4 linked regions of the Arabidopsis thaliana genome follow. The protein of the gene in region 1 interacts with the protein of each later gene in a pairwise test. Each region holds a gene or a part of one and is shown in the gene's direction. Other genes may lie near its edges.

Region 1 (7,109 bases):
AGAAAACGCATCTGAACAGGTAATTATTTGTCCTACAAGGTTCGATCGAATGTTCTCATCTCTTTTTTTCTCTCTGGCTTTCCGATCTTCTAGATTTTCCAAGTCTTGAATGATGAGGAAGGCGAAGGCTGTGGCCTGTGGGTGAGGTCGTGCCAAAGTCTAAGGCTGTAACACGCGTCTGGTGGGACATCAACAGGTGTCCGGTTCCGGCTGACGTTGATGTTCGCAGGGTCGGTCCGTGTATAAAACGGGCTTTGGAGAAATTAGGCTACTCTGGTCCTCTCACCATCACTGCCGTTGGGATACTAACAGACGTCCCTCATGACTTCCTCAGACAAGTCCATTCCTCTGGAATCGCTCTTCATCACGTTCCCACCGGTTTATATCTTCTCATCCTTCATTTTCTAAAATTAGGGTTTTGCTTCTATTTGCCCTTTTTGTTTTTGTTTTTAAGTCTTATAGTTTCCGAAACAGCTCTCTCAGGGATTGGGTGGGCTGTGGTTAAGTGGACCTGGTATAATCAACCTCCGGCTAATTTAATGCTCATATCGTACGAGCATATCTACTTGACCACTCTTGACATGCTAGGTAGGATCGGATACAACACTGTTCGGTCTATTCTTCCAGATGATCCTCAACAAGCCGCATCCTCCGCCTCCCCTTCTACAGGGTCTTTCCTCTGGGAAAGCTTACTGGCAAGCTTACCAGCAGCAGGTCCTTGTCCTCTCTCTCTCTCTCTCACACTCAGTACAGTGTTGAAATAGTTAAGCTGTGTCTGACCTAGTTATCTCCACGGACGCAGATGATATGGATTCAGGGGCACCTCAGGAGGACAAGTGCGGCGAGATGGGTGAACCTGCCTTGCTTTGTGAGCAATGCAGATTTACTGTCCAAGGCTTTGAAAACTTCTCCACGCATCTCAAGAGTGAAGAACATGCACATGAAGTAAGCATCCTAGCCAAAAACGCAGACTTGTTGTGTCCATTTGAGTCAACAACCTCTTACCGCGAGTTTCCCTTTCTCACTTAATTCTTCCAGTTATGTTTTGCCTAAATTTGACCCCATATTTTGTTTTGTCAATGAGCAGTCTCAATACTACCGTAACGAAGATGATGAAACCGATGGAGACGACTACGTACGAGACTCTGAAGACGACGAAGAAGAGTAGTAAGAGTTGTGTGTGTGTTAATGTTATCTTAAGCTATCTAATCCTTTTTATGTTCAACATCTTCTAAATCCTCGTAAACTCTGGTTTTCTTTGTGTGTTAACTGATAATAATGGTGTTATCTTAAGCTATGAGTAGTAGTAAGAGTTGTGTGAGTTAATGTTACTGATTTCTCCAACGAATTTGCTTTTTTGGAGATTTTGTCCCAATGAACTGCAACAACAAAAGCAACTGGTGAGAAAATGATGACTTGTTTGAATTGTGTTAGAGTTCCAGATACATATGCTAGAGATGCAACTAGAAACTGGTCATATCTCAGCTTAAAATAACTACAAAGAGCATAACAAGCTGGCTAATACTTAAAAATGTAAAATCAGATTCAACAGAACCCAATGGTTTTGTGTGTGTTTTCAGACCTTTAGATTTCGCAAAGCCCACCAGAAACAATGGTTGCAAATACTTTCTTCTTTCTCAGTTCTAGTAAACTATAAGCCGAAGCTGTTTTTGCTTGTATTCGTTTGCCCATATTGTGATGGTCTTTAAAGATTGGGCCTTCTTTGGTTCATCTAAATTTGAAGCTTTTTCCTTTTGTTAAATTTGTTGAAACAGTCAAAGTTAGATTAAACCAGGACAAATGAATGAAACGATAAATTCATAACTTTTTACTGCCAGCATTATCAGAAGAATGTCGTTAATGTTGTCTTTTTTTCTTTCACTTCCGTCTGTTTTTTTTGTGGTATTGGTTAATTCGAAAAGATTCGGAACCTATTGGCCGGCAAAAAAGTTATCCAAATGAACAAAAAGAAGAATTACACGTGTCAAGTTCACGAGAAACGACATAATACGTGAACATGAAAATGACAGACAATAAACCAATGAAAATATGACACGTATATTGGTTTCCTATTATTTAACCGTATTTAGCTCATTGTCGCTGTCACTAAAAAGGCTCCTTGTTTTTATCTTGAAGCAGTTAATAATTTACGCCAAAGTCGTCTTTTGCGTTTAAGTTCGCATGCCTAGCTAGTGCCAAAGGTGATCCTATCCGATAAGCTTTGTTTTGGGTAAATTTTTATCTGATAAGGTTACTGTAATTATCGTCAATTACCGCTCTTTTAAGTACTATATTATCACTTAACATTTTTTAAAAAATATGATTGCAGAAAATGTTATATATAAACTAAATCCCTATTTTATCATAACGTCAATTTCAGACAATTAATGAGATATGTAAGCATAAACCATATTCATATTGAACAAGAAAACCTCCGGTTACAATTATATGTGTTGTTTAAAATGGTTACAAAATCGGAAGATTGTTCGTTATGAAAACCTTAAACCATAATTAATACATATGTTAGAAGATAATTAGATAAGTAATCATTTAACTAGATTTATCTAAAAAGTGATTATGTTGTTTTTGTTTGAGAAAACCAAGTAAAGGTGAGTCTTTTCTCCTTTGGGAAAAACAAAAGTAGAATTCAAAAAAGAAAGAAATAGAATTCACTAATTATATAGTAATCCATTAATATTACTGGTTAGAAAGCGTAATTAGCGGCGGTGGTTATCAAAAGTGACTTCCACCATATGTTTCGAAAGCTTGAGTTTCACGAAGAAGATGGAGGAGGGGCAACTTTAGACTAGTGGAGATGAATCGAATGATGATTTATTGTAGATTCTTTGTGGTATCTCATCTTTCCTTCGTATGAGGTGTGATTCACAACAAATACAATTTAACAAAAACTAGTTTGTCTACATTCGGTATGATATAATTAAGGACTTTGTCTCAAACAGATTAAAGTTCTTGTTTCATGATTTTAGATTGTGGATGCCTTGTACCAATCTTCTTGTAGAAATGCCTTCTCCTCCTAGAAGAGAAATTACACCTTACGTGTCGTACATGACTACATGGAACAGTCACTTTGCAGATAGGATATGGTGTTAGACATTTAGCTTGATACAATTAATTAATGTTTAACAACAAGGTTTAAAGGCAACGAGAGCTATATCTAATAAGATGTGGTCTAAGACATATGAGACCTGATACATGGAGAATCACTCATTTATAAATTTCTGGTATATTAACGACATTTTGTGTCTAAAAAATTAGCTATTATAATGAATATGGTCTAAAATTGAATTTAAATTAACAAAACTATCTATAAAGTTTGAAACGATCTTACCTAATCAAAACAAATAATTATCTAAGCAATCTGTTTTGTTTTGTTCGGATTATATAGGTCCCCAAAACGTCATACAATAAAACTTGCTTAAATATTTTGTTTTTTTGTTACATTAAAAAATTAGTATCTTGTTGTGTTTTTGTTTGGTTTGAAAAGCTGAAAATGTGTGAAGGAGAAGAAGGAAGCTATAAAAAAGAGTTTAGGTACAAAAGTAAAAAGTTATTATGTCGGTGGGTTCATTAAAAGAAACCAAAAAACATAAACAAGTAATTTTGTTTTGGCATAACGAAGCATCTTCTTCTTCTTCCTTGTATTTATTATCCATTTCCAGAGATTCTCCCTTGTGAGATAACAACGAAGAACGAAAGAGAGAGAGAGAGAGAGAGATATGATGGACGGCGTTGAAGGCGGCACGGCGATGTACGGTGGTCTCGAGACGGTGCAATACGTACGGACGCATCATCAACATCTGTGCAGAGAAAACCAGTGTACCTCTGCTCTTGTCAAACACATCAAAGCTCCTCTTCATCTCGTAAGCTTCTCCAATCTACCACTAATTTCACCCTTTTCGTACCATTTTCTCCATGATCCGTCAATTTTGATCCCAACCATCGATTTAGGGTTTTTTCCCCCAAATCTCTGTTTAACGATTGATTATAATTGATTTTTTTTAGGTTTGGTCACTTGTACGGAGATTTGATCAGCCGCAGAAATACAAACCGTTTGTGAGCAGATGTACAGTAATCGGTGATCCTGAAATCGGCAGTCTTAGAGAAGTCAATGTTAAATCTGGTCTTCCTGCAACAACATCTACTGAGAGATTAGAACTTCTTGATGATGAAGAACACATCCTCGGTATCAAAATCATCGGTGGTGATCACAGACTTAAGGTACAGCGAGAGAAATCAAATCTCATTGATGTTTGTTTATATGCAGATTCTCATTGATTGTTTGTTTGCAGAATTACTCGTCGATTTTGACGGTTCATCCGGAGATAATCGAGGGAAGAGCAGGAACGATGGTGATTGAATCGTTTGTAGTTGATGTTCCTCAAGGTAACACAAAGGATGAGACTTGCTACTTTGTTGAAGCACTTATCAGATGTAATCTCAAGTCACTAGCAGATGTTTCTGAAAGATTGGCTTCTCAGGACATTACTCAGTGAACTACATAATCAATGAACAAGGGCATTGAAGTGAAGTATCAATTCCAGTTTGTGATATAATCAATATTCTTCAGGATTTTTTTGGTTTGGCCTAGATATATATATAGATATCTATCCTCGGTAATGACCAGTCTAAAAAGATGTACATATTGTCCCAATGGTGAAGTTTTGATGTAAGATATCTCCTGGTGGTTTGTTATTTGTAGATATTTTTGTAAACAATGTAAATGTGAATGGTTTATGATGTATAATATATAGTTCACAAAAGATGTTTCTGTAGACTTCAGATTCCACTTCTCTATTGAACAGAACCTATGATTGGATGCTGAGAACTTGTAAAGAATCTGAGGCAGAAAGTTGAAAAACTGTGTCAATTTCATTAACTTGAAAAGATGAGCATAAATTGGGAGAGAGAGAGAGAGACAAAGATTTTGAATTGAGGTTTAACGGTAAAACACACAAAACCTATTCCCCTCTGTTTCCAATTTTCATCTAAACAAACAGGTACATATTTGAATGTAATATTGTATACAGACCAGGGGTAAAACAGGAACTAAAGAAGGCTAACAATCGAGTCGAACCCTCTATGTGAAGCCACAGGTTTAGTGCAAATTGTAATAAGTTGTTCAGAGAGACTCTTGACTGAAACAAATTGTGAAGCAGATTCGATTTTAAAATCAAAATTTGAGTGTCGAGCGGGAAAGTAAAAGTTCCGCTCCAATCTTCTAATCTTTTCGTATCTAGCGGGAAATTTCTCAGCAGGTGACTTTCATAATCGCAGTTTTCGTCGATTCTCTTTTCCGATTTTACGATTCCTCTCTCTCTCTCATGGTGCGATTTCTCCAGCAGTAAAAATCAATGGCGAGAACCAAGCATCGCGTTACCAGGTCACAACCTCGGAATCAAACTGGTATCTTAAATCTGCTTTCTCTTTCAATTTTTACTTCTGATTTTACCCAGAATTTTAGGTTTTTTATTTCGATTTTGTTAACCCTAGATTTCGAATCTGAAATTTGTAGATGCCGCCGGTGCTTCATCTTCTCAGGCGGCAGGTCCAACTACGGTACGGCATCTTTTTCCGTCTTAGGGTTTCCAATGTTTCTTCCTTTTATCGTTATGATCAAATTTGTTTATCTATCGAAATTGAAGACCCCGACAAGGAGAGGCGGTGAAGGTGGAGATAATACTCAACAAAGTGAGTTTTTTATATTTGAAGTCTTTTTTTTCCCTCTTTTCATCTCTTTTGTTTGTGAAGTTATTCTTTTGTAACATCTGCAGCAAATCCTACAACTTCACCAGCTACTGGTACAAGGGTAAGATTTTTGTGACCATTGCTTATGAACTGCTTCAACTTTGATTTCGTTATTAAGCTGACAAAATTCTCGTTTTGGTTTGTCAAGAGAGGGGCTAAGAGATCCAGACAGGCTATGCCACGAGGTTTGTTTTAAAAAAAAAACCAATCTCTTGTGATATCCCTGAGAATACAGGACACTTAGTGTGTTTAAAACTAATCTTCGGTGTTGTCCTTGTAGGCTCACAGAAGAAGTCTTATCGATACAGGCCAGGAACCGTTGCTCTAAAAGAGATTCGCCATTTCCAGAAGCAGACAAACCTTCTTATTCCGGCTGCCAGTTTCATAAGAGAAGTTAGTTACTCTTTTTCTTACCAGCCATAATAAGTTTCACAGCTTAACAATATTCATATATACTAACAGAGGCACAAGCCTTTTGGTGTTTAATGTGGCTAGTTTTAGGATTTGCACACCCCACACATATCTGAGCATCAATGCAGTGTACATAGTGAGTGATATAGCAATTTAACTAAAATTCAGAGTAATCGTGAGGCCAACCCTCCTTGTTTAAGGAGTGTGTAATCTAGTTTGTCTTTGAGGTTATGAGCTCATAGATTCAGAACCATATGATTCCTGTAGCTACAAAACTCAACATGAATCGTCAGTGATGTGGAAATGCTGATTTGTGTTACAAACAAACTATTTTACATTGTTTTTCCAGGTGAGAAGTATAACCCATATGTTGGCCCCTCCCCAAATCAATCGTTGGACAGCTGAAGCTCTTGTTGCTCTTCAAGAGGTACCAATCCTTCAACTTTTTCTTTATACGAATGTATGAATATAGATATAGAGATAGTCACACATTTCAACTAATGTCATTCCCCTTGATGACCAATCAACCTAATCACACAAATTCTTTGTGGTAGGCGGCAGAAGATTACTTGGTTGGTTTGTTCTCAGATTCAATGCTCTGTGCTATCCATGCAAGACGTGTTACTCTAAGTAAGTACTCTAAAAGAAGACATTTTTCAGTCTCAACTTAGGAATCACAAGCATACATTTTATATCCCTTTGAATCATTAGTTACTTGAATATCATATATAAAATGCTTATCTATATCTGTTTTTTGTTCATATCAGTGAGAAAAGACTTTGAACTTGCACGCCGGCTTGGAGGAAAAGGCAGACCATGGTGATAGAAAACTCACTCACTATTCACATCTCTTACATTGTAAGTGAGGATCGAATAGTTAACAACAAGTGTGTCGTAGGTTGTATAAGGTTATTCTCTCCTTGTCTCTTGGT
Region 2 (9,799 bases), on another chromosome or scaffold:
AATATCTGATTCTGACTGTATACTGTAGTCAAAGATGGGCAGTGAAAGTGATAAAGGTAGAGAAGCAATTGTTGAAGAAGAAGAAGAAGAGATAGTCTGCTTGGAGTCTTTCTTCATCAACGATGAGTAATTTTGTTACACAAACAAATGTTTGTTTTATTTGGTTTTTAAACTTAGATCAAGTGTCTGCTTTTGGTTTTCTCAATATACATGTTTGTTTTGTCTTTGTCGGATGCAGTTATCAGTTGACGAAGTTTACGTTTGGTTCTCATGTTCTTGAGCTCTACTGTCTCCAATCAGCTTCAAGTGAGTTTCATCTTTATTTTGATTTTTGTATCAATGTTGCATTGTATTTTTGTTCTTTAGATAATAAAGGAGCAAACTTTATTGGTTAAGTTTTGAGGTTTGTGTTATAAGTAAGCTGATTAACAAAGATTTTATTGGCCATGGAGAACTTTTGTTGTTTCTATACTCTTCGAATCTTCATATAGTTATCATTAGTCAATCTTGTGTCACTGAGCTATATTCTAGGCTGGTGTATTCTTTGAACTTTTATTGCCATTGGAAGACTAAATATGAGATTCAGATACCCTTTTTGTGAATTTCTTCATCAATTATTTTTGACTATGAACTGTTTATATGCTCTTGAAATAGTCAATCTGGAGTTACTTATCTGTATTCTAGGCTGGTGTATTCTTTTAACTTCTAATGCCATTGAAAGACTAAATAAGAACAATGAGTTCAGAGATATATTTTTTTTTTTATCTAAACCCTTGTAGTGTTTATCATAAAGCTATGTCTAAAATGTTTCTTGGACAGCTGATTTTGATTTAACAGGGCAGCTGGTTTGGCCTGGTGCGATGCTTATGAATGGTTATCTCTCAGAAAATGCTGACATTCTCCAGGGATGTTCAGTTTTGGAGTTGGGATCTGGCGTTGGTAAGTGCTGTTTATTTCCCCCTACCATTTTCCATTTCGATTGGACCACTCTCACACTCTGTATGTATCTTGTTTATCCTAGTATGTAATGGCTAATCACTACTTGTGCATGCGTCTTCAAATTTCAGTTAGAGATGTTATGTATTGTAACATCATCACTCCCTGTTAGATATGCTGTATATACAAATATGGTCTTTGCATACTCTGCTTGGCTGACTTCACCATCATTCACATGTATAAACTCTTATATTTGTGCTCTTTCTTTTGTCTTTGAGAACATACTGTTTTTATTTTTTTCCGGTTTTCGTTCCTGTGTAAAACTGATCTGTAATCTTTTATAACACAGGTATAACTGGAGTCCTATGTAGCAAATTTTGCCGTAAAGTTATTTTTACTGACCACAACGATGAAGTGCTCAAGGCAAGATTACGTTACTGAAGATTTGATATGGGAATTCAACATTGGTAGAATATAATGAGGTCTTTTAAATGAACTTTTCAGATACTGAAGAAAAACATTGACCTTCATGGACATTCAAGTGGTCCCAAACCCTCAGCTGGTGAGAAAGAAAATCAACTAAGCTATTGACTCTCATTGTTCATATTATTGATGTGTTCTGTTTCTCATTTCTACCTACAGAATTAGAGGCTGCAAAGCTTGAATGGGGAAATAGTGATCAGCTTGGTCAAATTTTAAAGAAACACAATGATGGCTTTGATCTTATTCTTGGAGCTGATATCTATATCCTTATGTTCGTTAACGAATTCTTTATCTATCCGCTAGGACAGTGGTTGATCTTAGTTTTATCCGTAGTTGAAGTTTTGGTCCGGATCTTCTGTTCAGTTTTCATCAGTTAAACCGTCATGGGCACTCCTATAATTTACACCGGAATGAAAAAGAAAACCTTGACATTACGTAAGCTTTCAGCAATCAAGTGTGCCATTGCTATTTGACAGTGTTGAGCAGCTTCTGCGGATCAGGGGACAAGGAAACTGCAAATTCATACTAGCATACGTATCACGGGCTAGACAGTAAGTTTGTCAGCTAAAACTTTTGCATTTTTCTCATATAAGTATAACTGCAAGTTTCATACGAGTCAGAGAATAAACTATCTGAAACGTTATTTCAGGATGGATTCTGCAATCTTGAGAGAAGGCGCTCAGCACGGGATGCTGATGAATGAAGTTTCTGGGACTCGGTGTACCGTAGGAAACTTGGAAGGGGTCATATATGAAATCACACTTCAAAAGAAGAGAGGAATTGTGTTCGAGTAACTTAGTTCCTTTGATACCTCAGAATTTTGTAACATTATTTTTATGTTATTTAGATGCATACATTTTTGGTGAAACGTTTACTAAAGTTACAGTTCAAAAAGTATACAATGACATTTGTGGATGCTTTGAAGTGAATCCACATTGTTAGCTGAAAAACTGTTGCAACTATCATATCTCCTTTATGATAGTTGTCATGTCCAATTTCTTGACTTCACCTACTTATCAGTTTTCATGTATATCATTCTTTTTGTTTTCCACATCAATGGATCATCTTTATCCTGCGTGACTTTAAAAGTAAATATTTTTCAGTCTTATTTTATCTTCTATATTATTTTTCAGTTTTTTTTTTTTATCTTTTACATTATTTTTCAGTCTTATTATATCTTCTATATTATTTTCATTCTTATTTTTCTTTTGTCGGTATTTTCATTCTTATTTTATATTCTAAATCATTTTTCAGTCTTATTTTATTTTCCCTATTATTTTTCAGTCTTGTTTTATATTCTACAGTATTTTCAGTCTTATTTTATCTTCTTTGTCATTTTCAGTCTTTTTTATCTTCCATATTATTTTCAGTCTTATTGTATCTTCCATATTATTTTCAGTCTTATTTTATTTATCTCTTACATTATTTTTCAGTCTTATTTTATCTGAAAGTGTCATTTAGGTAGGTGCAGACTGAAGATATTGGGACTTTAGTTGATATTCGAAAAAAAAAGATATTGGGACTTAAGTTTGCAAAGTTTTACTACTATAGTAATATCGTAAGTACGTAAAAGATATATTTTACTAATGTTTTAACAAATCGTTTAATATCATAAAATAAAATAACCATGTTATTTATTTTTGGGGAAAGTATTTAATAAAAATACACCACATAATTTCTATTCCCACAAAAAAATACACGATCTATTTTTTCGTAACAAGAAATATAGGCTTTTTTTTTTACTCATTTTAGTATTTAAAGTTTAAACCAATATTATTTATTTAAAACAAGGACTACCACACACCACTTGGTTAGGGTCAATTTTATTCAAATAAATTTCCACCATATAATAACTTAAGTTACACTATACAGTTTACTCAATTAAAAATTTGTTGTCCAATCAGTAAAGAAGGAAAGAAAAAAAACATGTTATAAATTGATTGAGGTCTAAATTAAATGTTGGTCATCTTCCAACTCCAAAAGGACCCCTCCCAACCAGAATTAGTGGAGATAAACTTGACGCGTCCCTTCTTCATTCTCCGTCTTCTTCACGTCACCGGAAAAACGACGAATCTCATTGCCTGAGATTCTTCATCGGAATTAAACCTCCGGAGGAATTAATCACGGTAAATTTCAGACTCTTCGTTATCTCTTACGCTGATCGAATTCAATAGAATGTTAGGGCTGATCACAAAGAGCGATGATTTTTGCAGCACGATTCTGTTCTAATCGGAGAACATTTTTCCTAATTTTGTGAAATTCATGTTGAATTTATTGATTTTCCGGATAATTAGTAGAGAATCGATTTTGGAATTTGAATGATAATTTGTGGTATATTTGAACATATTTTTTGAGCAATGGACCTGACCATTTTCTCCAGAGAACTCAAACTATTGCTGAAAAATGCAATGGAATGGGGTGAGACGAGCCCATTCTATATGGTGCAAGAGATTAACAAACAACACTCATTTGCATCATCCTTCTATTCCAGTCTCACATTTTTTCACCATGTCGAGTTTGGAGGAGCCGCTAAGCTTTGACAAGTTGCCAAGTATGAGCACTATGGATAGGATTCAGAGATTTTCTTCCGGTGCTTGTCGCCCCAGGGATGATGTCGGTATGGGACACCGTTGGATTGAAGGAAGAGATTGCACTACCTCTAACAGTTGCATGTGAGTTTGAAAATATATATCAATCTTTGTTTTCCTTTCATATGACAACTTTTTGTTTCTTATGCTCTTGAAATGTATGTTAACTTACAGTGATGATGATAAAAGCTTTGCTAAAGAGTCATTCCCGTGGAGAAGGCATACTCGGAAATTATCTGAAGGAGAGCATATGTTTAGGAATATTTCGTTTGCTGGAAGGACTTCTACTGTTTCTGGGACTTTAAGGGAATCCAAAAGTTTTAAGGAGCAGAAGTATAGCACATTTAGCAATGAGAATGGCACGTCGCATATAAGTAATAAGGTAATTGTCTCGATGGAGGAAAGTAGTTTTTGACCTCTATATAAAACATATCCACAGATACCTCGTTCCCCGTCTATGTAGGATAGTTTTGTATAATGATTCATCTTTTTCATTTCTGTTTAAAATTTCCCACTACAACCACCATTTTTTTTTCTCTCTTATTCTGTTTTTTTTCTGTTTGGAATTTAGATCTCTAAAGGTATACCAAAGTTTGTGAAGATTGTAGAAGTTGGTCCAAGAGATGGCCTGCAGAATGAGAAAAATATAGTACCCACATCTGTAAAGGTGGAACTAATTCAGAGATTAGTTTCTTCTGGATTGCCTGTTGTCGAGGCTACAAGTTTTGTATCACCAAAGTGGGTTCCCCAGGTAATGCTGTTATGCTGGTGTATATAAATTATATCTTTCCTGAACTTTCCTGTTTGGTGTATTGTATAATTAAGCATATAAAGCGACCACTTTGAAGAAATGACTATATTATATTGTAGATAGACTTTTAGAAATTTCTCATAAAAATGGAACCCTTCGTAGAGTTAGCTGCAACTAAATAGTTTTTCAAGATGCAACAATATATTTCTTAGTTTGTTTTGTTGGGATTTGCATCTCACCAGTAGTGTACTTAGGAACCTGTGTTGAAAAAAATAAAACTGGCAAACAGTGTCTTATCACACATCTTACGGTCTTGCGTGTGCCTAAATTCAAACTGAGCACCAAGCATCCATTTCTGGGAATTTCTATTGGTTACAATCAATGGTTATTGCTACAAGATATTCAAATTGCTTTTGATAGGTAAAATAATGGGGAAAACCATTTTCCAAGTAGAGGAAGTATGGTAGCATTTAGAGTATAGAAACAATATCTGTAGTGGATGCTTATGTAAAACTAATCTGACTGAACAGACATTTATACTATTTCGCCTTGTAGCTTGCAGATGCAAAGGATGTAATGGATGCAGTAAATACTTTAGATGGGGCTCGATTACCGGTTCTGACACCGAATCTAAAAGTCTGTATCATATATTTCTTAAGGCTCTCCAACAATTCTTGGTTTCTTGGTGTTGAACACTAACATGGGGTGCTTGCTTCTTTTTAGGGCTTTCAAGCGGCTGTATCTGCAGGTGCAAAGGAAGTTGCAATCTTTGCATCGGCTTCTGAGTCATTCTCCTTGTCAAATATTAACTGTACCATCGAAGAGAGTCTCTTGAGATATCGTGTTGTTGCCACTGCTGCAAAGGAGCATTCGGTTCCAGTCCGTGGGTATGTTTCTTCTAATTTTTCTTACTTGTGTACACTATGTGTTCCTCCTAGATGGCATCTATCAAGAATGGTGCGGGAATATAATGTAACTATTTACCTAATCAAGTTTTCGTTCCTCTGTGCTGGAGGAAATCATAATTTTACACATTAAACTGTGCATGGATCCAAAATCCTATGTTGTGTTTATCTCAGTTGTGTGTTTAATGTACGTGTAACAATATGGATTTTGGATCATGTACAGTTTTTCTAGTCCGAACTTCATTTACTATCAAGCTTCTTCAAGTAGTTCAGTTCTGGTTTAGTGCATCATATTATGGACCCATTGAGTGTTTTTTTTTGTGGTAGAATAGAATTAACCTTTTTTCCAATCTCCGACCCTAACAAAACACTAATAGAAGAAACAGTTGGTTCTAATAACAGTCTATGATTATTTCCCAATATTGAAGGTATGTATCTTGCGTTGTGGGGTGTCCAGTAGAGGGACCTGTTCTACCCTCAAAAGTGGCTTATGTTGTGAAAGAACTCTATGACATGGGCTGCTTTGAGATTTCTCTGGGTGATACAATTGGAATCGGCACTCCTGGTAATTTCGTTACTGAAAATCTTGTGTAGTTTATTCAATTACGCATGTGCACTGTATGTGGGAGTGATAAACTCTGAAGACATTTAGCAGCTCTGTTATTATCTATTAGACTGAATGTAGATGAATAAAGCGGTTGTTAGTTGGTTAGAGAGTAGATAGGGAGGGCTGGATTTATGCGCATTTTCGTTGAGAGTTGAGTCTCTCATTAATCAAGTCCCTCTGTTTGGTGAATTGAACAAATCAGGTTCTGTGGTTCCAATGCTTGAAGCCGTGATGGCAGTTGTGCCAGCGGACAAGCTGGCTGTTCACTTCCATGATACCTATGGGCAAGCTCTTGCAAACATATTGGTGTCTCTCCAGGTAAGTCAAGCACTAATAGAAGAATATTTGATTATAAATATAACTTCATTTATGGTTTGACATGTATTGGTGCAAAAACAGATGGGAATAAGCATAGTAGACTCATCAATTGCCGGATTAGGCGGCTGCCCATATGCAAAAGGAGCTTCAGGAAATGTAGCCACAGAAGATGTGGTTTACATGTTGAACGGTTTAGGCGTCCACACCAATGTCGACTTGGGAAAGCTTATAGCTGCTGGAGATTTCATCAGCAAGCATCTCGGTCGTCCCAATGGTTCGAAGGCTGCCGTTGCCCTCAACCGTCGTATCACAGCTGATGCCTCCAAGATATGAGTTTTATTAGACCATCTCCAATGTATAGCTCTATATCTTACTCGAAAATAGAGTTACTCTCTACAATTTATCCCTCTATTTTCTACTCTAAAAAGAATATTCTTAAAAAATATTCTATTTCTATTTTATATACTAATACATTTTATTTATCTAATTTACAATTTGACCCCACATATTATAGTTTTGCAAAGTTTCCATAAAATATAATATTATTTACATTACACTCATTATGTATATATACATATAAAATTATGCTTTGAATGAGCTAAAGAAAAAGAAAAAAAATATTTTGTAATTGGAATTCCTTTAAAAAACAAATGTTATGGTATATTTTGAGACTGAACAAGCACGAATTTTACAAAAACGACGTGTCCAACAACAAGATCAAAATCAATAAACTCCTTTTCCATCTATTTCATTTGGACAATGTTTTCACTATCTTCGCGGATCTACAATCAGTTTACCAGAATATTAAATTACTAGTTTTATGATTTAGTTTTGTTATGTTGTTTATTTTCGCTACCAATTTGGTATTCTTTTTCGTCATTTTTATAACAAATGAACTACCACCCAACTTTATTAAAGTCATGCTTCCTACTCATTTTTCAAATTTCAACAAAATAATTTCTTTGTGGATTGAATAATTTATGTTAGTTTCTAAAAATTTGAATAATAACATATGTTAAAGATCTCGATGAGGGTAATGAAATAGACAATCTCGGAGGCAAAAACCAAGCTGTGGCTGGGTGAAGTGTAACTCGATGAGATTAAAGCCAGTTGGATCATCAGAGATAGTAATGGAAATTACTTGAGCTCAGAACATAACATTGGATAAGATGCGTCTAGTGCGTTAGAAAGTGAGTTCAAGGCTCTCATATTGGCTATGCAAAACTATTGGATACAACAGGTTGTATTTGAAAGTGACTGTCGACAACTGAATGACCTTCTTACAAAGAAGACAACGAACTTTGAGATTGGTTGCGAGAAATTCAGTTATTGACACAAAGGTTCAAAGAGTTACAATTTGAATGGATCAGAAGAGAGTCAAACAAACGTGCTGACATCCTATCAAAACAAAGTCTACAAGACAATGTGCTTTCAATCTTCCATTTCTATGTACCAAGCTCTATTAGAGAGGTTTTACAATGTGATAACTCTGTCGTCTAATTAATAATATCTCAAATGTTCCAAAAAAAAAACATATGCAAAAGATCTATTTTTATTTTATTTTTTTTAATGGTTACATGATAATTCAATTTCTACAAAACAAAGGATCAAAGAAATATCAAATATATATATATATATTTTTTTTTTTTGGGCAAATGAAATATCAAATATTTATTTCTTCAATTTGATTGGCAATTAAATACATTTGGAACTAATGGAAAAAATCCATAAACCAATTTTAGACTTACTAGCTAATTTAAATGGATCGGAGTGTTCTGACCAATGTTATGGGTTTAGGGTTTAAAGATTCTCTCATCTTCTTCGATTACTCTGTCAATCAAATCCGCCATTTTTGATGCGGTTTTCTCCAACCTTCTTCTTACTCTCACAATTGCGATTGACTCGACGAAGAGCAGCCACCTCTTCGCGTTTCTACGCCGTCTCTGCTCTCAACAATCCTAATAATCTCTCAGACTCTGAGCAGCAGCAGGTGAATCATCTTAATCTCTCCAAGCTTACTCAACATGGTCTTCAGCGACTCCTGAATAGTACCAGAGATGACCCAAATCTCGCTTTGTCGTTTTTGCGACAGCTTAAGGAACATGGTGTGTCCCCTAATGTCAATGCTTACGCAACTCTTGTCAGAATTCTTACTACTTGGGGTTTGGACATCAAGTTAGATTCTGTTTTAGTTGAACTAATTAAGAACGAGGAGCGTGGTTTCACTGTAATGGATTTGATTGAAGTTATTGGTGAACAAGCTGAGGAAAAGAAACGATCATTTGTTTTGATTCGAGTCTCTGGTGCTTTGGTTAAAGCTTATGTTAGTCTTGGTATGTTCGACGAAGCTACCGATGTTTTGTTTCAGAGTAAACGGTTGGATTGTGTTGTCGATATAAAGGCGTGTAATTTCTTGATGAATCGTATGACTGAGTTTGGGAAAATTGGTATGCTGATGACTTTGTTTAAGCAACTTAAGCAGTTAGGGTTGTGTGCAAATGAGTACACGTATGCTATTGTGGTTAAGGCGTTGTGTAGGAAAGGTAATTTAGAAGAAGCAGCTATGTTGCTTATCGAAAATGAGAGTGTGTTTGGTTATAAGACTTTCATTAACGGACTTTGTGTTACTGGAGAGACAGAGAAAGCTGTTGCTTTGATCTTAGAGCTGATAGATAGGAAATATCTGGCTGGTGATGACCTCAGAGCTGTGCTTGGTATGGTGGTTCGCGGTTTCTGTAATGAGATGAAAATGAAAGCTGCTGAAAGTGTTATTATTGAAATGGAGGAAATTGGGTTTGGTCTTGATGTTTATGCTTGTTTAGCGGTGATTGATCGATATTGTAAGAACATGAATTTACCTGAAGCATTGGGGTTTTTAGATAAAATGTTGGGAAAAGGATTGAAAGTAAATTGTGTGATTGTTAGTTTGATTCTTCAGTGTTATTGTAAGATGGACATGTGTTTGGAAGCATTAGAAAAGTTTAAAGAATTTAGAGACATGAACATTTTCCTTGACAGAGTTTGTTACAATGTCGCGTTTGATGCGTTGAGCAAGCTGGGGAGAGTGGAAGAAGCTTTTGAGCTGCTACAAGAAATGAAGGATAGAGGAATTGTTCCTGATGTCATCAACTACACAACTCTGATAGATGGCTATTGCCTTCAAGGTAAAGTTGTTGATGCCCTTGATTTGATTGACGAAATGATAGGAAAT
Region 3 (6,441 bases), on another chromosome or scaffold:
ATTCCTACCTGGCTCAGAGAAGTTAGATGAAACGTATCTATTTAACGTGGCTGAAGAAGGAATGGTCACTGGAGCAGTCCCTGGTCTCACATTAATGCGCGGACTGTTACCCCCAGATATGTATCTTGGAGTAGATGGAGAACCCGATGGTGAAAAGGGAGGTGAAAGCTGGTGATTGTCACCAAAAGCATCTGTACGTGACCAGTGGAAATCGTGTAACCCAGGTGACAACTGATGAGACTGAGCTGGCGAAAAAGATTGGTTCGGTGTTGCGAATTGAGCTGGAGGTCTGTGAAAGCCGCTAGTCCAGCTATGCGGACGTTCTGCAGATGAACCAGTCAATGGAGGCCGACCAGCTCTACCAGTAAAGGAATGGCCTTCAACACTTCTCCCTGGAGAAGGGAAAAACCTCATAGGATCTGTTGCAGGACTTCCCACATAATCAGTTATAATCCTCGGAGGCAATGTGATATGAGCACCGAGATTAAAATCAGATAAGTCAGAACGGTAAGTAACCGATGCACAAAGACGACCAGGAGGCACTTCAACAGGAGCAAAACGAAACTCTTTCATTGTTTCCGTCACAGGACCAGAGAATATGTCACTGAAAGATGAAACCTTGTAAATCAAATCATAACCAGAAGAAGCAAGAGAAGAACTCAGCTGCCTAGAGACACGATAAGCAGGAAGAAGCCGAGTCTGTGCATAAAGAGACCGCAACAGAATGATAGATTTCTTGTAAACCTTCTGGTAACGCGTTGCAGAGTCAGAACTCTGAGGAGACATAATCAAAGGATTCTCATATTGAACAACCCAACGCTCAATCACAGTCTCAGCTGATCTAACAACAGAATCACTATGATCATCATCATCATCCAAATTATCGTTTGAAATCGGATGGACAAGAATGATATCAATAATCATAGAATCCAGAATATTCCTATGCCAAGAATGCAATTTCTCCAACGCAGCAGGACGATCTCCCATCACAAGATTAAACCATTTGTCACTTTTTCTAACGTTAAGACCTGATAAACGCTCACGAGTACGACCACGAGATTGCAACGAAGGGATTCTGGAATTAAGAACTATGTGTAATGCTTTTGGGAAGAAATGAGAAACAATCTGCTCTAATCTTCCTATATCTGAAGGCAAATTCTCTGGAAAATCCATCTTCTTCACACAAATCCCTAAATCGAAACAATTCTAAAAATATCTCACACAAATCCCTAAGAAATATCCAAATCCGAAACTGATCTATGAGAACGGAGATCACGAATCGTTGTTTTGGGAGAAGGATCTAGAAATACAAAGCTTAAGATGATTAAGGTGATTAAGAGATGAAGAAAGTGTAGAGAGATAAATTACAGATAGTTAGGGTTACCGTGAGGAAGAGAGTTTGATAATAGAAGCTTTTATGTGAAGATCTGAGACGTCAACGATGGCGTGAGTGTGTTTTACACGCAGATGACGATGATGATGATCAACATAAACAAAAAGAGTTTCAGAGGTAGAAGAAACACACACGATCACGATTTGAGAACACTGTGAAATTACTAATTAAATTAATATTGAATTCAACCAATGATAAATAGCCACGTCTTTGTTCTCTTTTGTTTTTCTCGTTTTACCCTTATCTTGTTGCCTCAATTACAGGAGACAATAGGTCTCGTTAATCTTAATGTACTATACTGTGAAATTACTAATTAATATTCGACTCTTGTGAATGCAGCCAATGAAGAATAGCCACGTCCTTGTTATCCTTTGTTGAATTTTTGTTTTCTTCTGGTTTTACAGGAGACAAGACAATAGGCTCTTAATGTATACAGTGAACCTGAATCTCACGCGCTTTTTTGGTAGAGAAGGTGAAGCAAATGCGCCAAGTCGGATGTTTAAGTATATGGGCTTACTGTTTAAGCATTAGGCCCAACATTTCTAGATAATTGGAACACTTTTTTTTTTTTTTTGTAAACCAGATAATATGTATTTGCAATCATCACTATGGAATGAGTTCAAAACCATTGGTTTTTTGAAGTTATGGACTACGTAGCTAACATTTTAAAACCTACAGATTTTTATTTTATTTTAAATGTTATATGTTATATTGTATCATTACAAGAGAAAGCGATTCTTACAATGTAGTTTAGTCTTCTAACAACTGTTATTATTACTGTTGTGAAAAATATGTATTCAAACTAACATACTGCATGTTATCAACAAATGTATAAGTTGTAAATGTCTATTATATATTCTCTATGTTCCTAAAAGAATGATGTTTTGGGTTTTTCACCCAAATTAAGAAAATTAACTTTTATGTTATTTATATTATTTTTTTGTTAATTTAATAATATAATTTCTACTTCTTTCCTCTCTCTATTAGTCATTAATAAAAATAATAATAATATTAACCTAAGAAATCAATTTTTATGGAACAAAAAAAAATCTAAAACATCAAATTTCATGGAACAGGAGAAATATATTTTTGGTGATAGTACACTAATTTTCTATTTTATAGTGGTTGTAGATGTATGATGTCGTGAAATATCCCATAATAGTTCTTCAATCATAATATAAGTAACGCAATATTAAGCGGCAGCGTTTTCCCAAATTATTAACTTGTTAGTTAATAATCTAAAGAATAAATCCTTGTCACAAACTCACAATATCACAAGAAAGTGAGAAACACTATAGTGATTGGCTTCAGACGTCACCTATTTCAAGCCCTACTAACTCAATAATGTAATCAATATATACCACATACATACATCAGAGATCAGACCAACACATTTTTATTACAAATTTGACGGACCAGAGATTTATAAATAATTAAATTGAATTTGTGTAAACCACGGCATTAGAATTATTAATTACTATTCTATTTACACGTTAACATATATTTATCCATTTATCAATTTATAGTTGTATAGACGGCAATTTGTTTATTAATTTTAAAGTTAAAACTAGTTAATAACATGGATAAACCGGAAATTTCGAAATTAATTTGGTTTAAGTTTCATATAAAAAATATTTAAATCGAACCTAGCGAAACTGTGATAAAAAAACGAAAAAAAAAAATTGAACATTCGAAAAAAATAGTAAATTTTCTCTTTTGGGGTGGTCTATGCATACATAAGCCATGAGTATGTTTAAGTTTCAAGTAAGGAGAAAATATTGACCGAAATCAAAAGTGAGGAGAAATAAAAATCAAGAAGCAGATACATTGAACCTGGACATGCAAAAGCTACACAAAGCGCCTATTAAAGAAACATAATCAAACCCTAACACTCAACAAATCAAGAAACAAAGTTAGAACCACAATCAAATCCTTTTACACAAAGAATCTTAATGGCGAACCGAGGAGGATGCGTGACGGTGGCGGCGGAAGAGATGGATGAGCTAAGGAGGAGGAACATAGAGCTCTCGAGAGAAGTGGCGGAGATGAAGACAGAAATGATTAAGTTGTGGCAGCGAACGGTTGTGGCGGAGGAGGCGGAAGAGCAACTCTGCTCGCAGCTGGCGGAGCTGGAGGTCGAGTCTTTAGAACAGGCACGTGACTATCACGATCGCATGCTCTTCCTCATGGATCAAATCTCTCGTCTCTCTTCTTCTTCTGTCGTCTCTTCCTCGTAGAATAAGATATTTCTCATAAGTTATGTATAGTTGTGTATGTGACAATCACTATACATGTATATAGATCGATGGTAATATGTTATGTTTTCAACATAAATTAAATGTTTGAATCCATTTCTAGTGAATAAATTAGAATTTCTGATAATCATACAAATTGTTGAACTCCATTTCTAATGAATTAGTATTTCTGGTACTAGTTGCATATTTTGTCTTGACTTTTAATTACAAAAGTTCTTATGGAAGCAAATAATATTTTGGAATGATACCATGTTTAAGTAATGAAGTAATAATATATGAGTGAGATCTAATGTCAATCTTAACTATCAAAATAATTTTATGGAACTAGTAGGTATTGGAGACTCGAAGGGGATCGAAGAACTTTGAAGTTTAAATTCCATGAAATCCTACATTACCATAATTTTCAAAGGAATCGTAGAAGAGTTAATTGAAACTTGAGTGTAGAAAAAAATAAAGGGTTTTTGGGTACATGAGTTTCATGGAAATTTTCCACAACTTCAGGATTTTTTTTTTGTGGTCAATGGAAACCGTAGGAGAGAATGGTTCAATGATTTTTCTATGGAACCATAACAATAGTCTTTAGGGGACGTGAAACATGAAATTGTGTAAGTTTTCCATTGGTTCAAGGGTCATTTTCTGTTTCTATTTCATTTAATTATATATTTATTTTGTTAATATAAAAAAAAATCATTTAAAATAGTATGAAGATATGTGGTGCTGGCAAATTAAGAGGAATATTGACATTCGATTTTGACGTGATTTTGTTTGTTTTGCTGTTAATTAACTGTTTTGATCATAATAAATTTGAGATAGTATCCGTTGACGATGAGAATATGCCATGCGTAGATTTAAAATTATTACCATTTCTTATTTAATCAACAACGGTACCGGAGTAAACCATGCCTGCCAAAAATGAATTGAAACTTCAATTGTTTCAAGAAAGATGTGTGTGTGTGTGTTTTTTTCATTCTAAACAAAGTTGAACCAAATTAGAATAAATTAAACCGAAGTGAGCCAGTATGTAATTTTGGAAGACTAAACCGGACAAGAAAGCAGATACATTGAACCTGGACAGTATAGGAACTCAATCAAATTGTATGGTCTAAAATGTGATCATCCCACGCTCCGAATTTGTTCATGTCGCAGCTTTTTTTGGCATTTTGTAATAATTGGGCAAACGATTATTCATGATTTTTTTTTCTTCTTTGGCTTTTTTCTTATGCTACTTTATCCCTGATTTTGATATCTCTTGAAAAGAAGGATCTACCATTATTGGAATCATTTGTCTACGATATCGACTATCGAATTTGACTGTTTACAAAGCTATAATTCTTTTGATATCGGGTGACCAAACTGTAATTAATTAACTATAGTTCCATGAACAATTTAGGAAATAGAGATAGCTTAGACTTTGGCCTAGATTAATGGGTTTAATGACTAATATTGGTGGATTCAAGAATAATGAATTAGTAGGAATAATCGTTACGTGTTTCATTGGTGCGACGGCCATTGACTTGGGATAAGTAGAAGTGGTCCACTGGAGGCACGAAGAAATGGGATATGACAATTACATCGACGTGATTGGTGACGTCACCCATATGTATCTCCACGACGTTCACCGATTCCTAATATTCAACTAATTCGCATAATACTAATTAACGTCTTAATATGATTTTCTAATTTTTTGTGTATCTAATAATTATGGTGATGATGATAAAAGAAATTTGACATCTTAATAAGCTATTAAGGAATATAACTATAAGATTTTTGCCTAATCACTATGAGCAAATTATATGAAAATTTTGATAGAATATGAGATTTTCTCTTAAATGTGTCAAATTTGGGATATAGGATACATATCTACAATAGGCCAGATATACTTATACTATCATGCATGGATATGTATGTACTGATGTTGCATTTTCTAGATTAATGTAATAAAACAGCCCCCAAAAAACATTTTAAACCTATTAGGTTACTAGTATATATATCTAATTAATATTCGTCATCATTAGTGTGGTATATCTTTGTGTATTTGATTTTGTATAAATAATTATCTACTTTTGTGTGTTTACATATTAGTATAATACTAGTTCATATCTAAATTATATATTTTCTGATAACGATACCTAATTTATATTTTAATCTAAATGTTTTTTTTTTTAATGTTAAATATTGCTTGAAGATAATTCTAGATGCAGATATTCAAAAGGAATAAATTATTGTGATAGTCTTGCATGATATGTACCACGTGCAGTAGACAGACAATGATGTCGACAAAAAAAAAAAGAAGAGAACACGAGATACATTGAACCTAGACACTTTGCAATCCCAAATACCAAAACTCAAAATATGCCTATTAAAAGGACCATCAACACATAGAAGAGAATTTAACAGTTTAACACAAGAAGCAGCAAAACCACCTAACTCAAATTGTTGTCTATATACAAGAAACATAATCATAATGGGAAAAGGAGGAGGTTATGTGACGGTGGCGGCGGAAGAAGTGGAGGAGTTACGGAGGAGGAACGGAGAGTTGGAGAGAGAAATGGAGGAGATGAAGAAAGAGATGGTTCAGCTGTGGCGGCGTACGGTGGTGGCGGAGGAGGCCGAGGAGAGACTCTGCTCGCAACTGGCGGAGCTAGAGGTCGAGTCTTTAGATCAGGCGCGTGACTATCACTCTCGTATAGTCTTTCTCATGGACCAAATCTCTCGTCTCTCTTCTTCCTCTCTTGAAGTCGTTGTTACGAATTCGTAGATAGATTAATTATTATTTTGTCTTTAGCTTTTTTT
Region 4 (7,313 bases), on another chromosome or scaffold:
AAACTATTTTCTAAACAATAAAAAACACGAAAAAACTACGTAACTAAAACATTAGACAATGCTGTAATACAATATGACAATGGACGAGCCGATTTGTTAGCAAAGTCTTATCGAAACCCAAGTAGATTTGAGACTAATCGAAACTGATACGACGCATCTTACAAACAAGATTAGCTGTAGGGCAGTCGAGTTCATTACCAGCTTCTGATTTCATCACATCTTTGAGCTCACCTCTCGGTGTAGCCAAACACGTCTGAAAAGTTGCAAGAACTGGCGGAATTGGCATGGACAGAGCCGAAAGCACATTGCTCAAGTACTCAATATCTACAGAGAGTTGTTGTGCTCCTCGGTCTGAAATGTATTGGATTCCTCTCAATTGGTCCATGTACAGAGCGGTTGCTCCTTCTGCTACCTGTTGTTTTATTAAAAAAAAAACACTTAGTGGTTAAGGTCTTAGCTTATTGCGATTCGGTTTGACAAAAGCTTAAATTAGACTTACCTTGAACATCCATTCGGTTGCAAAGAATTGTGCATCCTCGTTGTTTGAATCGCCGTTGGTTGAGATGCCTTCAGCTAGAGGCTCAAGCTGCTGCGGCAAAGTAAGGAGATATTCTCCAACACTTGTAACATAAGACTGCGGGTATGAGCTGAAATTTGGTAGAGGAAAAGCAGTTTGTTCCTCGACGGAAGACCAGATTGGTAGGCGAGATACTTCCCCTAGACGTTGCCTGACTTTTGATATAAGGACGTCATAGACAAGTTCATTGACTGTGTCGGCAAATGCAGCAACTCTCTGAGACGCCAAAGGCAGTGCGTGGAATCGTGGATCTTTGGACTGCAAAAAATCAAAGGGAAAAGGGAATCGATACGCATGAAATATCAAATAGTTAATTCAGAAACTTTGTAAATCAAGCCTACAGGTTTTCACTACCTGCTCCAATAGGTTTAATAGTTTGTGAGCCTTCTCCGGAACATCAACCAACCGAATAGCTGCCACATCCATGGAAGCTCGTCCAGCCATAGACAAATCTCCAGCAGTTTGTTCACTTTTCAAATGTGATAGGTTGTGATCCAAATTTGTGCCAAATAATGAAATAGACAAGCTGGAGTTTAGTCTAGCTAGAGTTGCTCTCAAAGAGGCTTCAAAGACAGAAGACCTGCTCGTGAGACAATCAGCTACAGTAAGAATTTGAAGTGCTCCTTGAACAATGGACCATTCCTCATTTGAAGTCAAATCCATCTTGCGAGAGCTCTCCCTTTTCTCTGCACTTGCATCTTTCTTTGAGCCAACTCCATCACCTGTACCATCCACTCCACACACAACTCTCAAAGATTTGAGTGTTTCTTGAAGCATAGAGATATACTGCAACATTATGTCATCTAATGCAAGTATCAGCTCGTCTGCCTCTGACCCTCCAGTAAAGCCAATACACCTTTCAACTGCAGCTTCAAGAAGAACAACAACTTGGGGAATAGACTCTTCCATCCTACGCACTGTTTCACTGAGTTCAATTCCTTGAGCCCCAACACCACGAGTAACAGCCCCTCTCAGATCCACCACTGCAATCTCAGAGGATAAAATAGCACGTTCCATCTTCCCATACCTAAAGCATGATCAAACCTTATGTCACAAACAGCCTTGAAGAACCACGACCCAAAAAAGTTTCATCAAAAAAATGGGACAATCCATAAATACTAGAAATGGATACAAGACATGGGGGAAGAGAAGTACACAACATGAAAACTTACTTTTGCTTAAACGATTCAAAGGGTGAGTACACGGCCTTCAGCGTATCTATTAAGATCCTAAGTTCAGATTCCGCAAACAGGTGCTGAATATTTCTTGCAAAGGAACCAGTTACGTTGTGCAGTTCAATCAGAGCCTCAAGATGCTTGGTCTGAATATTAATACCCTTGGGCAAGTCTCCAGATAATAGATCCATCACACCTGTTCAAGGAAAACATCAGAATTGTCAGTATTCTCCTAAATACACAAAATACAGATATAAGTCAATTGAAGATAATCGTGCATTGTCTGGAAAATTTCCAGTGACTAAATGAAAAATGTAACAAATAAGTTGTTGTTCAAACTTCCTGCAAGTCTCTCTTGCATATTGACAGATTCATGACATCGGCCACTATGCACAAAAATTACAAACTTAACAAGAACAGCCAAAAACTTTAGCTCATGTAAAGGCAGAAAAAAGTGATACTCTTCTTACATCTATCTACCCAAACATGAGGATGGTAGAGTAGAACCACTAAAGAAGCAACGCAATCCCAATTCAGCTGGGTAAAAAGACTAGACTAAGAAGGAAACCTAATAATCAAACTGTACTGACATCATATCTAACCTTTGGCGAGTGCTTTTGTTTCAGGAACAGCATCTCCAGTTGCAAGGTTAAGACGAGAAACAAAACTAGCCCCCAGTACTCCCATGGTCTCAACCAACAGCTTTGGGACGAGAGTCATGTAGTCATCAGGGAAGGCAACCATACACCTAAACAATCATGAAAGCAAAAACGTACAACAGTGATTGATACTTAAAGCTGCAATCACCTAAAGATCTGACATACTGTCACTGGAAGGGCCCGGAAAATATATACAGTTTACTGTAAATAAAAGTAAAACATTTACCATTTCCACTCTTGCTCAAGATAGAGTAGCAACTCGTCGTAAAAGCTTGTCAGCCAACTGGCAAATGATGTCTGAGATGATGTCGACTGAAACTCATCGCCGCTAGACAACCTTTGACTTTCACTTCTCTCATTGGCAAGCTTGTTTGCCCTTTGCTTTGTGTCAAAATCTTCCCAGAGTTGTTTAATCGGCTTTAGACGGACTTTTGAATATTGCAACTCCAGAGACTTGAATCTCCCAATCCGGATGAGAATTACTCGCAAATCTTGGGCGACATCAACCTGCCAAATTTGGGGAAAGGCTTTTCAGTCCAATAATGGCAACAGAGACATTACAACCTAAAGTAGTTGGGTTCTCTAGATATACAGGTTCCAACCTTGTGATATGTTAATGCATCAGTAAGACGTGGCTGCACCATCGCCTCCAGCCTATCTTCCAATACCTCTAGTTGCTTTCTCACATTAGCAAATTCTGCAACCTGTTGACAAAAATTGGACTTTAAGTGGTGACGGAAAAAGACTTAAATCCTCAGAGTACTGAAGCTGACATAAAACTACCTCTCCAACAGCAGACAGGCAATTTCGCATGCTAGCAAGAGTTTCTGCAGCACGAGGAAGATCGCCACTAGCAAATACATCCTCAACCGTCGAGCTTAACTGAGTTAACCCTGCAGCATCCTGTACATATACCAAAAAGAAGAGAATCAATTGCAGATCTACCCCCAAGTGTCCACATAATGGATCACAAAATCACTATGAATACTAACCTGTAGTGTTTTGTAGGCAGCCTCCATTCTCTGTTTGACATTGTCCACTCTAGCAAGCGCAGCTATACAATCTGCTGAAGAACCCTCTGCCTGCAGAGTACCGAATTCGATAAGAGCACAAGTTTCAGGAATTTGATATAATCTAATTTTCGAGAAGAGATCCAAACAAAATCTCAGGAATCAGCACAAATGCGTACCTTCTTGAGCTTCTGGAGGATTCCAGCAACAGAACCACGCAGAGACACAGCATCATCACGGAGACGCAACACGTCTCGTGTGGCACGAGGAACACGGAGGAGAGCACCACCGCTCTGCTCTTCAAGAGAAGCTCCGATCTCCTCGGAGGCAATCTGAAGCTTCATTTCCAGATCCACAAGATGTTTCTCGAGTGAATCCTGTGGGTGACGCGCCTGGCACGACGAGTTAACCCATCGCTTCGCATCGAACTTCTCATCTGAGAATGGACCTAGATCCAGCATCATCCTTGATCCGATCACCCGATTTACCTTAGATTCTCTTCAGCTTCGACGATGATGATGTTGAAGAGAAGAAGATCCTCTGATTTCGCAGATACACTGAAGAAGAAACTAAACCAAATCGATCTAAACCGACTTTCAAATTCGACTTTAAAACCAAACCAAAGTAAACGGAAGATAAATTTACAAATCTGGGCCCCAAAGTGATGGGCCGTCACGGAAAAAGTTTTCTTCTTTCTTTTTCTTTATTTTTCTTTATTTTACTTGGAGACCACGCAGTTCTAGAACCATCCTTAAGCGACTCTCTAGCCTCTAGCAGCTTCTTCTACTCTCTGTTCTATATAAACCTTTCTCTAACAGCTTTTTTTTCGTTCAAAGAGTATAAAAAATATCTCATCGAGCTTGAAAATAATTAATCACTTGCTAATTCTAAGCTTCTTCTCTTTCCAAAAATGGCGTCATCATCGGCTTTAGCTCTCAGGAGACTTCTCTCTTCTTCCACCGTCGCCGTCCCTCGCGCCTTAAGAGCCGTTCGTCCGGTGGCTGCTTCATCTCGCCTCTTCAATACCAACGCCGCCAGAAACTATGAAGACGGTGTCGATAGGAACCATCACTCAAACCGACATGTTTCTCGCCACGGCGGCGATTTCTTCTCACGTAAATCCATGGTTCCTCCGTCCAATTTCGCTATAGATTTTCCCAATTTGATACATGTTTAGTGATTTATGTATAGAGTACATCTAACTTTGTTTTGGAGATCTGTTGAATCTGAAAATTTGGTTGTTTTTTCAAACAGATATACTCGATCCGTTTACTCCAACGAGAAGCTTGAGCCAGATGCTGAATTTCATGGACCAGGTAAGCGAAATCCCTTTGGTATCAGCTACTCGTGGAATGGGAGCTTCTGGAGTTAGACGTGGTTGGAACGTGAAAGAGAAAGACGACGCGTTGCATCTAAGGATAGATATGCCGGGACTAAGCAGAGAGGATGTGAAATTGGCTTTGGAACAGAACACATTGGTGATTAGAGGAGAAGGGGAAACAGAGGAGGGAGAAGATGTTTCTGGAGATGGACGGAGGTTTACGAGTAGGATTGAGTTACCGGAGAAAGTATACAAGACTGATGAGATTAAGGCGGAAATGAAGAATGGTGTGTTGAAAGTGGTGATTCCAAAGATTAAAGAGGATGAGCGTAACAATATTCGTCACATAAACGTTGACTAGAGTGTTTTATTTTGGATTGTTTGAGATGGAATGGAAGTAAGTGAGTGAATTTGTGAACTTTAAGGTGTCCTTTGGTGAATCAAGGAGAATGACATTTCCCACGGTCCTATGTGTTCGGGATTTTGACTTTTTTCGTTACATCAATGATCTATGTACGTTTGACTACTTTCATATCATAGGTTCGGATTTTGTTTCCCAAATTCTTGATATCGGATTCTGGATATGAATATCGTAGCAACTATGATATAGTTGAAGTTATTTGGATATTATTTATGGAGAAAAAGAGTCTGCTAGGACGATTTTCTATCATTATACCTATGGACTATGGTGGTGTTATCAAACATGCTGGACAGAGCCATGATCAACGATACATTCGATGCTCATTCTCGATGTTCAAACTCGGTTTTATAAGGGGATGATACATCAAATTGATACCAAGTAACTGATTTTGAATGTGCTGGAAATGTTGATATAGGTCTCAGCAACCAGAAGAAGGTTGTGGGACAAGACTATTAGAGAATTTTGCTACCGTTTTTTTTTCACCTCTGTTTGGCAAAGCGCGCTCTTTATAGCTTTACTTCTTTGGAACCACTTCGGTGACCATAGAACTCGTTCGTGTCGGCATCGTCAAATTTAAGTAACTTTTTATTTACCGCATGGTTTATTATTTTGAGTTTTTTTCTTCCGCATTTTATATTCTTCATTTTTCCTTGTCCATCGAGAAAGAGAGACAAAAAGAGGACGCAATTGCCGGTGCTGAGGAGAATTTTCCAATCGCGAACTCAGGTTTTGATCCATTTCGCTCTCTGCAGAATCCACCATTATCTTCATATTTTCTTCTATTGACCTCAATCTTTCAGCTCATCTCTCTCCTTTGGTTAATTGAATTTCCCAGTTTCTTCAATTTTACTTATTTAATACATATCTCTCTCAATTGCAGTATCCTATGAACTTCGTGATCATGGTTTTGAATTTTACTTGCTTCGATTGGCCTACGTTATAAAAAAATTGAAACTTTTTAACTCAATTCTCTAACTTACATAAGCTTTTGGTTTGCTTAGCTTATGCAAAATCATGTTGATGCAGGGGACGTCATGCTAAATGAGAATCTGTGGGTTAATTCGGAGTGAGAAGGCTATAATAGTTTCTAATGGGGATAACATATTTGCACATTTCCGTGGCAACAACAGCTTTGAGCTTTGTGGGTTTACAAGTCTGGACGGAGTTGTCTCTTGATAGACTTAGAGCTGATGGGATAATCACCAAGAACATTTCTTTAGGGAATTCTGAGAATACCCTTGAGCTTCTTCTGAGTTCTCACACTACAATTGCATTGCTGGCAAGTTTTGTTCTCAATATCTACATTCTTCTTGTTCTTTCTCTCAAGGTAAGAGTGGTCTTTTACTTCCGAGGTTAAGTTTAAGCAATATTCGTCGGCTAGCTTTATTCTTACGTAGAATAGATATACATCTTTTGAATGGTTCTTTCCTTTAGATGGAATTCAATGTAAAGCTCGTAGTTTGGCTATTAGAAAATACATGAATTATAAGTTTGCACCTGCGGGTTAAGAGTTGTGGTGTAAGAACCAAGTATTTCTGACCTGAAGGATTTAAAAACTCTTGGTTTTCGATAGTTATAAGGCTTCCGTGAAACCAAATACCATGCTATTTGTTGCCTTAAGGGTCTGCACATACTTGTAGGGTAATAATAGACTAGCTGTTTTGGGAAATGTCTTTCAATCATTGTGTGAGGATCTGATAACTCTTAATATTCCCTGCAGACTCTGTTTTTTGGAGATCTATATGCCATTGAAACTAGAAAACTGGTGGAAAGGCTTGCCAATTACATCATTTACAAGGTAGTTTTTTGTACTTTGATGAAAGACAGTAGGGTGCAACGGAAACCAACCCACAATTTCTGTCACTTATATAGTTTTATGATATCTGGGATATTCTATTATCTCCTTTACTGAATATATTGCAAAAAAGGATGAAGACGAAATCCTACTTAAAATGACAAGCATTAATGGTACATGAGCATATATTTCTACCACATTATTCGATTGGATATCTGATCTGTTTGCATAAAATTAAGTTATTTGCAGATGTGTGCCATTTTCATGTTAATAACCTTCTTGGTTACTCCTGTTTTTAGGGCACTTTTCTGCCATTCGTGGTTCCACGAACAGTATTTCAGGGGGTCCTATGGAC

Evidence for each region.
Region 2: the proteins of RCAR1 (region 1) and AT2G26800 interact in binary tests that used the Arabidopsis thaliana proteins (3 or more experiments, as listed by UniProt).
Region 3: the proteins of RCAR1 (region 1) and LSU1 interact in binary tests that used the Arabidopsis thaliana proteins (3 or more experiments, as listed by UniProt).
Region 4: the proteins of RCAR1 (region 1) and AT5G51440 interact in binary tests that used the Arabidopsis thaliana proteins (3 or more experiments, as listed by UniProt).

Annotation. Positions count from the first base shown.
Region 1 is NC_003070.9:138,401-145,509, forward strand, and holds RCAR1 (regulatory component of ABA receptor 1), read left to right. Parts: upstream 1-3,469; 5' UTR 3,470-3,737; coding exon 3,738-3,881; intron 3,882-4,023; coding exon 4,024-4,239; intron 4,240-4,310; coding exon 4,311-4,514; 3' UTR 4,515-4,861; downstream 4,862-7,109. Other genes in the region: AT1G01355 (Putative endonuclease or glycosyl hydrolase), read left to right, coding at 113-141, 197-378, 463-714, 803-945, 1,088-1,168; HTR12 (Histone superfamily protein), read left to right, coding at 5,373-5,424, 5,534-5,577, 5,664-5,709, 5,793-5,827, 5,915-5,951, 6,047-6,159, 6,527-6,604, 6,732-6,807 and 1 more. UniProt on the Arabidopsis thaliana protein: Receptor for abscisic acid (ABA) required for ABA-mediated responses such as stomatal closure and germination inhibition.
Region 2 is NC_003071.7:11,426,314-11,436,112, reverse strand, and holds AT2G26800 (Aldolase superfamily protein), read left to right. Parts: upstream 1-3,315; 5' UTR 3,316-3,545; intron 3,546-3,552; exon of another isoform or gene 3,553-3,799; 5' UTR 3,800-3,822; coding exon 3,823-4,091; exon of another isoform or gene 4,092-4,152; coding exon of another isoform or gene 4,153-4,181; coding exon 4,182-4,389; intron 4,390-4,578; coding exon 4,579-4,758; intron 4,759-5,313; coding exon 5,314-5,394; intron 5,395-5,481; coding exon 5,482-5,645; intron 5,646-6,091; coding exon 6,092-6,228; coding exon of another isoform or gene 6,229-6,257; exon of another isoform or gene 6,258-6,472; coding exon 6,473-6,588; intron 6,589-6,669; coding exon 6,670-6,921; 3' UTR 6,922-7,094; downstream 7,095-9,799. Other genes in the region: AT2G26810 (Putative methyltransferase family protein), read left to right, coding at 35-126, 239-306, 820-939, 1,286-1,359, 1,441-1,498, 1,579-1,680, 1,859-1,970, 2,069-2,213; AT2G26790 (Pentatricopeptide repeat (PPR) superfamily protein), read left to right, coding at 8,444-9,799. UniProt on the Arabidopsis thaliana protein: Involved in the catabolism of branched amino acids such as leucine.
Region 3 is NC_003074.8:18,372,624-18,379,064, reverse strand, and holds LSU1 (response to low sulfur 1), read left to right. Parts: upstream 1-3,124; 5' UTR 3,125-3,345; coding exon 3,346-3,630; 3' UTR 3,631-3,832; downstream 3,833-6,441. Other genes in the region: ATG13 (Autophagy-related protein 13), read right to left, coding at 1-1,173; LSU3 (response to low sulfur 3), read left to right, coding at 6,113-6,406.
Region 4 is NC_003076.8:20,886,911-20,894,223, forward strand, and holds AT5G51440 (HSP20-like chaperones superfamily protein), read left to right. Parts: upstream 1-4,252; 5' UTR 4,253-4,331; coding exon 4,332-4,536; intron 4,537-4,675; coding exon 4,676-5,103; 3' UTR 5,104-5,506; downstream 5,507-7,313. Other genes in the region: EYE (conserved oligomeric Golgi complex component-related / COG complex component-like protein), read right to left, coding at 134-412, 500-835, 932-1,604, 1,750-1,948, 2,355-2,500, 2,638-2,918, 3,014-3,115, 3,195-3,314 and 2 more; RIN3 (RPM1 interacting protein 3), read left to right, coding at 6,254-6,490, 6,884-6,961, 7,258-7,313.